Linked DNA regions of Drosophila melanogaster. The protein of the gene in region 1 purifies or fractionates together with the protein of each later gene. This does not show direct contact. Each region holds a gene or a part of one and is shown on either strand. Other genes may lie near its edges.

Region 1 (4,777 bases):
ATGAATCTGGTCAATTTGATATTGTGAGAACCCTCAACGAAATCCCTTTTAAGGAGGTACTCCTCAGTCTTCACAATATGAACTCACACCTAAGTCAGGGACTTACAGTGGCCACCACTTTATTGCCCCAAATACTGAGTTACGGCATTGGCGGGCAGATGGTGATCAATATGGACATGCTCGCACAGAAGTTCGGCGGAAAATTCGTTGAGCATATCGGCAATCTGGCTAGCTTTACGGACGTTTTGGAGGCCATGGCCAGATACTTCAGCGATCAGGCTGTACAGCTTCTAATGCAGATGACCCGCACATTCGTAGAGGAGAACGTGGATTACATTGATCGCTCGCTGAATACGTTCGTATCAACTGAAGCGGTCCTCTATCGCATTCTAATGCATTGCGTTAAAACCTTTGATGACTTCGGCGAAGATTTCCTTCAGAGACAACGTGAGGATATTTTGATGGTGGTATCCAAGTACTTTCGATCACTGGAGCCAGTTGGCGAACAAAACTGCCGCAAGTACAAATGCAACGTTTGCAAAGGCGCCTACTATATTAGTTCCATATAAGCTGATTCCATGGTTCGAGCTGTCGGTTTATTAAGTGATTTAGTGATTAATAGATTGTGATACAACAAAGATTTGTTAGCCATCGTGACTCATTTGTACTAGGATTGTAATAATCTTTTAAGCCTTTATATGCGTCTTCTAAACCTAATATGCTGTTAAATTCTCTGAATGTTTGTTTAGTTTTAACTGTCCACCAATTTTTATAAAAAACACTTTAATTCCGATCAGTTGCCGTATTCGATTGTTTATTCAAAATCGATCTAAGTGTATAAATACTGTAAATGGATCTGTGTCCCTGGGAGTGGGCACAAATAAGGTACTCTATAAGAGTGAGCGCGACTTGTAGAATGTACATGAATAGCCTAACTATAACTATGGACGGATTCAGAAGATTCTGACCAGATGGCACCGACTTGGAGCGTGGGGCATGGAGCATGACACTGGAGCTCTCTTAGCAGAAGAACTCCTCCTCGCACTGGTTTAGACAGCAGTAGGGAATGTTGTTGTAGGACCTGCTCGAGTGATCCCTCTTGAAGCGATGCTTCTTTTCGTGGTGCGGCTTGATGGGCTTGTAGCGCGGAAAGATGTCCAGTTCGCTGAGGCGATTGAAGTGCTCCCGGGTCACCTTCAGGTAGCCACCCATTGGATAGCTGCTTCGGCTGATGTAGTGATGCTTGTTGTGCGTTTTGCCGGCTGAAAAGGGGGAAAACGTTGCCAGTGAGCAAATTGATCTTGAACCTGCGCCTTGAAGTCGGTTAACTTTTGCATCGGAACTGCTTTATGCAAATGCCGTATTAATTGCAATCTACACACTTAAAAAAAAACGTGTTTTCGATATGCAGTTCCGAATGCAATTGTCGGGTTGACTGACACTCTGACCTTATTAGCTCGCTAATCCAATATTTTAATCTTTTCCTTATCGATGTTCAGTGGATATTGTTTAATTGAGATTTTAAAACGTAAGTATTATAGTTGGAAACAAAATTTAAAAATGGTAAAGTCATAACGAAGCATTATAATAATTTGATCTTTAAATTTATCCGAAATATTTTTAAACATTTTTTTTCCTAGTGCCACACTATGCTCTAAAATCTAAGATCTAGATCTAGATACTTACATCCAAGTCGATTCAGATGGTGGTGCGCGAACTCGATGGACCTTCTGTCGCGGCGGGCACCCTCGTCCGCCTGAAAGAGGTGCTCGCACGCCTCCATCGCGAACTTCTTCATCCGCTCCAGGGAGCAGAAGCTGCCCGACGAGCTGCCCATCAGGCAACAGACTCCGATGACCAGCAGCATCCAGCGGCACATATGCAACTGCAATGGAGGAGCGGGCGAAACAACAAGTGAGTATGAGTATATTCCAAATTAAACACCCAACCGGCCTCCGGCTCCTAATTATAAATCGCTGACGTTCAGAATTTATCGCATAAGTGTTACAACGATCCTCTAACCGGCTGCACTCTGCCCTGCTTTGGCATTTCAATGTGAATCTGGATCGCCGCTCTGGACACATCTGGATTAACCACTTCGGATGACGACAGCCGGGTGTCGGGATGCCGGGATGTCTGGATGACGTCGCCGACTCCCACGCACCGGAGTATGCCGCCCATTAACTGGGTCAATATCGCATCAAGATCGAAACATAAACTGGAGCGCATTTGCAAGTCGACGCGGCCAAATGGTGAATTTTAATTGCCGCTTTTAATGACCGAAACTTCCCCGACATTACGGCGATCTGGAGCTGAAGTGGAAATTATGTAATGCGCCCCGCAGGTAGGCATTTCCGCATTTTGCATTTCGCATTTCGTATATCGCACCTTGCGGTGACACTCCAGTCTGTTTAGCACTCCAGTCCGCCATATGAATCCGATTCGGAATCGATGCGGGCATTATGCTCTTGCCCGCGGAGAACAAAAGCGCATTTGTTTATATTGGATATTGATATTTTTAGCTGACAGCCTGTTAATTGCACACACCCACTTTTTTTGTGGCGCGAAGCTAATTTAAGTAATTAAAGTGGAGTGTTCTTAGAAGACAGTTATTTGTTTGGAAAATTTCTGGACTCAATTTGGAAAAGTCCACCTTGTACTGGAAATGTTTAAGTTCAGTACAATGATTTCAAGGAATGCATAATTTGGTGTATGAAATCATTCTGAGAACTGAATGTTTGATGTTTAATGCTTTGGTGCTGAGCAACTAACCAACTATAATGCTAAAGAGCTACACGAATTAGTTATGCTAGTGTAATAGTTAAAAAACAAAAATAAGAGTTTAACTTCAACTCGAACTCACCTTTGAACTCATTTTAGTGGCGTTCTAGGATCACAATTCTCAATAGATCAATAGATCAGTAGGCACGTCGATCACCTTTCTGGCTGCAACACTACGTATACGTGTTTTCTTTTGGCGGGCAAACTTGCTGCAGAGCTAACTTGCTGAATGGTTAACCCGTCCGTCCGATCGACGTTACCTGATAATCACGAGCGGCGAGCGCACAATGAGCTTTCGTTGCCGACGTAGCCAAGCTTTTATACGCGCCTCAAAAATCGAGGATCGGCGCTTCGGATCGGCTCAGTTTGCCGCTCAGACAGCCGCTCTTCACTTTTCAATGGGAATGGGCGATGGGGGTGAGAGAGAGAGAGAGAGAGAGAGCAGATTTCGGGATTTGTAATTCTTCGGTTTCGGTTTCGGGTATGGAGTATGGGGTATGGGTTATGGGGTTCGGTCTCGGCTTTTTGGGGATCGGGATCCGCTCGCAGGAGTTTTGCGTAAGCGGCAGGGCGCGCCGAGCATTCAGAAATATACATTTTTTTTTATCAATGGGCCTCGGAACGGACGTCAGACCAGAAGAGTTGGCATTTATAGTTTCATGGCGCCGCCGTTTCGATCTTAAACGAATTTCAACATAAATGGACTCGGCGGACTCACTGAGTCACAGTCACATGCTGCTGGACTTGCTGCTGCTCTTGATAAAGCCGAGGCGAATACTGTTAGCTGGAACAGTCTAAAAACACTCTTATCAGCGCACCTTGGCAATGTAATAAGGTAGTAATAGCTACTGGTGATTTGACGGCCGATGGTGGCAGTGAAAGTGAAAACTTGGACCTTGTTGCCGGGGCTTTTCCAACCAGGGCAACGCACTTCTTGATAGCCGTGCATGCTTCTCTAATATGATTGCTTATTTATGTGGATCCATAAACAAGTTGAACAGACCCATAAAACCATTCAAATATTGTGTGTAGAATTTGAAGAACTGTAAAATTGAAATTGTTGACTGGCGTTTCCCATTGAAAGTCGAGAAAAACAACAGTGATTAGCTTTAATGCGGTAATCATTTGTTAAATCATACTTTGTACCAGACTCACTCATCATTTAGCATGCTAAAAAATGATCCAAATGCCTTTACCATCTTTTTCAGTGGCAAAGTACTACTGTTTACTATAAGTAAAGAGTCTAGAATGACAGGTTCGTTGAGCAATGGAAAGCTAAGACATTTGAAAGCTTAAGAAATTTTTGCATTGAATAATATTCCAATGGACCTCATGGTGTTTTATTCAACCTGAAATTAAATGATAACATAACATTCTTAAAAAACTGGTTGCAGAAACCAATAAACAGTAAAGTTTAATGTTCATATAGGGGGCATTTCGTTCAAAGTCTAAAAAAATGAATTCATTAAAAAAAAAAAATTGTATTATGTTGTGAATAAAAAATGGAAGGCCAGCGAAATTGTTGTTAAACATTCAGATTTATATAGAAATAATATATAAAGTTACCGCACATTTGCTGATGTACTATGTATTGTATTTCCAAAGGTTTCTATCTCTACGATTGCTGCTTTTCGTATGATAGCAGGGTTCTGTGAAAAAGCGAAAGTGTAGAACTTTCACTGTCGTTTCTGTTCGGCTCTGCCTCTGTCTCTTTCGGTATCGGGCTCGCCCTCTCTTTCGCTCACCCTGTTGCAGCATCATTTGGGGTGGAGCACTTAACGGTTGTTCTGGATCGGGCGTCATCATCGTGCGTTCTTATTTTATCAGATCGTTTGTGTTACGTTCTTTTTCGGATATTTTTAGCCGCTCTCTCGGTCAATGCACACTTTCGGCCGACTTTTTATGGGTTCAGATTGTTACGTTTCTGATTCCGATTCCGATTCGGTTCGGATTTGGTTTCGGTTTCGTTTCCACATTCGTTTTGGTTATGCTGTTT
Region 2 (4,469 bases), on another chromosome or scaffold:
GTTGTCTGTCTGATTGCTGGCTATTTTTATTTATATTTTTTTTTTATTTATTCGTATGTGTATATCTCTTTCGCTTCGTGTTATGGATTCTCCTCATCATCATAGACATCGCAGTCTTTATCTTTATCGCAGCTACCCCTAACCAGAATTGGCAGCAGCATTATTATTAATTAATATTATTAGCATGCAGCAACAAATAACAATAAACAATAACAATGGCAACGCGCACAAAAGGCAGCGAAACTCAAAATTTTAATGCTCAATCCAGTCAGTTTTCAAGCAATTAACCAATATATTTCCACTTATCCTGCAATGCATTATATATATATATAATTTAATTATACATATATAATTTGCACTATATTTCGGCATCTTGTGTACTTTTTATAGATTCAAACTCCGTGAAATGGAATCCGCGCTTTGTTCACACTTTTAATAAAGTGCAAATATCAATTCGTACTTATTGGCTTATGATATTATTCATCCCATATTTGCTTTGAGATCAGCACTTGGAATTGGGAACCTACCTCTGGGGGAATTCCTAAGTGTGCTAAATGGCCAGGCAATCTGAAAGGGAATGATAATGAATAGGTCATGGTTAAGGATCCACGATAAAAATCACTTAAGTTATGAAATTGTATTCCGACCAGAAGGAAGAATGCATCCCAAGGCTCCCAACTATGAAATTTCCGTTTTGGACATATGTACGAAGATAAATCTTTTTGTGGCCAACACAACTCAATTCCGACATAAACCAATTAGACATAGTCGGGCATTTTGGACGACATCAAACAGGTTCCAACGGCATCGATAATCGATAATGGATGGATCGACGGATAAAAGTTGCTCGGCGAGGTGGCTTCACTTTCAAAACTATTGGACAGGCGACGTTCGGAACGGGCCGAGTGAATTTAATTTGGCAAATTCTAGTTAAAGGCTCCTGGCGTTCGTCATCAGCAATTAGCATATACTACATATATACATATGTATATGTATATTTGGTGTGTGATTGGCATGAAACCGGCATTCTGTTTATTTACCCATCCAATTGGCGCCAGGTGAGTCCAAATATTTCACTTTTGTCCACTTTGATGTGTTTGCGCAGCCAATTCCTAGACGCTGTCGTAGACATCGAGATTACAACGGATTTTCGGGGGCGAAATATGGTAATATATGCAAACACGCTTTTATTTTATTACGTCGGGCTTGCCTGCAAATAATTTGGCATTTCAATTTTGAGTTGGTTGATTCATCTGCGCGTAAACATGATTTCGTTTTTCTTTGTAAACTCAGTAAATACGTTTAGTTTATAACTAGTTTAGCTACGTTGTAACGAAGTGGAAAGCTTATGAATGGCGGTTACTTTTCAATTTTTAATGAATTCACGATGAGTTTGGGAATTTTTGGTGGCATTCTGGTTTGATGTGGTTTAATCGTTCTGAATGGCATTAACTTTTTCTGGTTCTTAAATATTAATTTCAAGTCTGGAAATTTCTAGCAATGCTTGTTTTTCACAACAAACTAAGGTTTAAAAATATTAATATTTGTGTTCGTTAGGGATAAAAATTAATTTGTTAGCGAAATAATGTTTGAAATCATTTAAAGTTTCCAACTATTCCGGACTAAGAGCAAAAATTAACCATAAAAATTTTTACTTAATTTTTGTATTACTTATTTATATAAGATTTGGCTTGGAATGTCCAACAGCACAATCTAATAAATATAAAGAAAGATTATAAAGCATACATATAGTTTACACTTTTTCAATACTTTAATATATTCTATTGTTTATAACGAATTTATTGATTACAAATATTTTCAAATTTGAAATTGAATTGTAACCGCCTTTGACTGGTTCCGAATCGACTGGCTCTCCACGGAACATATCGCCACATGCGGTATAATCAATGCAGCTCCCTACGGTCATACTATTAACCACATCCACATCAGAAGTCTGAAATCTGATTTAAAAACTCTCACGAAACTTACTTAAAACCAGGTGAAATAAAGACTGAATACATTCTGGAGGCAAGACAAGCTGAAGCAGTATGAGTGGCAAGCAGGTAGTCATCCTTCTGGGCAGTGTCCTGATCCTGGGATGCTTACAAGTGGCAGCGGCAACGGAAACGGATAACAAAACCAACGATTTCGTGGCCACCGACGAATGGCAGACGATTGCGGAAGGTTAATGGCTAGCCAGGCTAACTCTCGGATGACGTGTACTAAGTGAGCACTCTATATTTCCAGGTCAAGCTATTCCAAGGGGCCTGCACGTGCGCATCAACCTACAAACGGGGCTCAAGGAAGCCAAACTCTTAGACGAAAGCGAACGTGGCACGTCGCTGCAGAGTCAACCGGATGATCAGAATGCTCGGGAATCTCACGATGACAACGAACCCCTGGCTCTGGACTATAAACCGGACATAATCGAGGAGTCTATACGGCGGGTCAAGGAGCAGAAGAAGAGCTATGCCGAGCTACGCAAAGCGTACAAAGAGTTCCAGAAGAACTTTCGCACCGACGGAGAACTGATCGTCCAGTTAATCGATCAGTTTCGGAACTTCAGCAGAACGCCGCTAGAGTCAGAGATGCGCTCCAAGCTGGACTGCCTGGAAAATCTGGAGTATTTGCTCCATCAGATAGACAATGCCTTGATGTTCATTGATAATGGGGGATTGGATGATGTACTACTGCCCATTGTTGTGAACGATACCAGTACATCCCTGAGAGTGTCGGCCATGCGTGTGTTGGGCTCGCTGGCGAGCAACAATCCCAAGGCCCAGATCAAGGTGTTCGAAAAGAATTTCGGGTCTCATCTGGCTCAGATTCTGACCAGTTCCGGAAATGTCGGTGAGATCTCCGCTGCATTGCACGCCTTTGGAGCCTTGTTGCGGAAATTTCCGCTAGCCCAGCAGCGAGTGCTTTCCACCTCGGGTACACAGGCTCTGATCAAGGTGCTCCAGAGTCCGGATGTGGAGCTGCGGAGCAAGGCGAAGGTAGTGACTCTCATAAGCGACCTAGTGCTGGAGAAGCGGTCAGTGCTGGATGTCAGCAAAGATGATCCCGAAGCCTCATCCACAATGGCGCAATATGTGCTCTTGGACTTCGAGTCGTGGCTGAAAACGCCGGGCTACTGCGCGGCGGTGGACACTGTGCTAACCAAGGAGTTCCTGCTCCTCCTAGAGCAACCGGAGGTGGTGGAACAGTTTGCCACCGCATTGGAGACCACCGAAGATATGTGCACCAGCACGTGGTCGCAAAGTTCCGGTCTCAGGCATGCACTATTAACCGTTCGCAATCGGTATGCCAACAGCACGGACGAGTACCGACTGGAGGTGTCCCAGATTTTGGCCAAACTGTGCGAGAGATTGTTCAACAAGCCCAAGCACACCGAACTGTAATCCTAGCCAATTTACTATGTTATTTATGTTAATTTCATTTAATTGTAAGCTGAGTTGGAATGAAATTCGCAGCCAAACCATAGAATACGATAGCTAAGATGCCAAGTACTTGTGATGCAAAAATAATGCTCTTTGTCATTAACTTAGGATAGCAATCAATCATGCCAAACATCTACAGGATTTTCGTTATCAAATATAGTCTCTTACTTAAGATTATTTTAAGTGTGATTTTTTTTTAATAGGCAGACGATTCACCAACGAGCACATCAAAATAATTATGTTGTTACACGTCATTAAACTAGCAAAAATTTGTATGCTACAGAATTGTTCTCCAAACAGATTATGAATCCTTAAAGCCTTAAGTTCTTGTTTATTGTAGCTACAATAATAAAGCAATGACCTAATGTTTAATTTAGAAATTCTTTCTTAAATCAGTTGACTTCTTTTCAGTGGCATATTCTTAAAATGTAGTGCTAAATTATGAAAGGAAATGTATTTTCAATCAAGAAATCGCATTAGGAGATTGGATATTCCACCCCTATAGAACTACAGACCCATTTAAAGCCCGATAAGGCGAGCATAATCGACCGGGCCATAAAGTAAGTCAAAAGTGTCGGAAGGAAAGCAAAAACGCCGAGGAAAGCATGTCCCAAAAAACCACTTGAAGTTTGAATGTGAGCCAAACGAAGCCACAAGAACAGGGAAAACCTGGCACGGAACTGTACAGGAGGAGAAAGGACATCGGAGCAGGAGAGTGCAATTATGTGCCGGCAAAGTTGGAAGTTGGAGTCGAAGTCCAGCGCGGGAATTACAGCAATTAGCGGCAGTCACATGCAAATGCAATGTCACTGGGGCTGAGTCACGACGGTGGATGGTCGGATAGGTGGAGTGGTAAAGGTGAAGCAGCGCCTGGAAGGGAGCCGGCTAGGACGCCGCCTTGGTTCCCATGGCTACTCCATGCAATGTAAACAGAGAAAAGGGGTTGCAAAGCCGGCTCAGTGGAGCACAACGCAGAGAGGCAGGAGAGGATTCCTGAACTGGAATTCACTCATCAATTCCAATTCCAGC

Evidence for each region.
Region 2: the proteins of Ilp8 (region 1) and Sil1 purify together in Drosophila melanogaster (affinity purification with mass spectrometry, with the first as the bait; one study listed by BioGRID). This does not show direct contact.

The regions. Positions count from the first base shown.
Region 1 is NT_037436.4:17,029,023-17,033,799, forward strand, and holds Ilp8 (Insulin-like peptide 8), read right to left. Parts: upstream 3,059-4,777; 5' UTR 2,876-3,058; coding exon 2,864-2,875; intron 1,886-2,863; coding exon 1,687-1,885; intron 1,263-1,686; coding exon 1,021-1,262; 3' UTR 790-1,020; downstream 1-789. Other genes in the region: CG7730 (uncharacterized protein), read left to right, coding at 1-569.
Region 2 is NT_033777.3:25,232,977-25,237,445, reverse strand, and holds Sil1 (Sil1 nucleotide exchange factor), read left to right. Parts: upstream 1-1,916; 5' UTR 1,917-2,048; coding exon 2,049-2,184; intron 2,185-2,247; coding exon 2,248-3,401; 3' UTR 3,402-3,810; downstream 3,811-4,469. UniProt on the Drosophila melanogaster protein: Required for protein translocation and folding in the endoplasmic reticulum (ER). Functions as a nucleotide exchange factor for an ER lumenal chaperone of HSP70 family.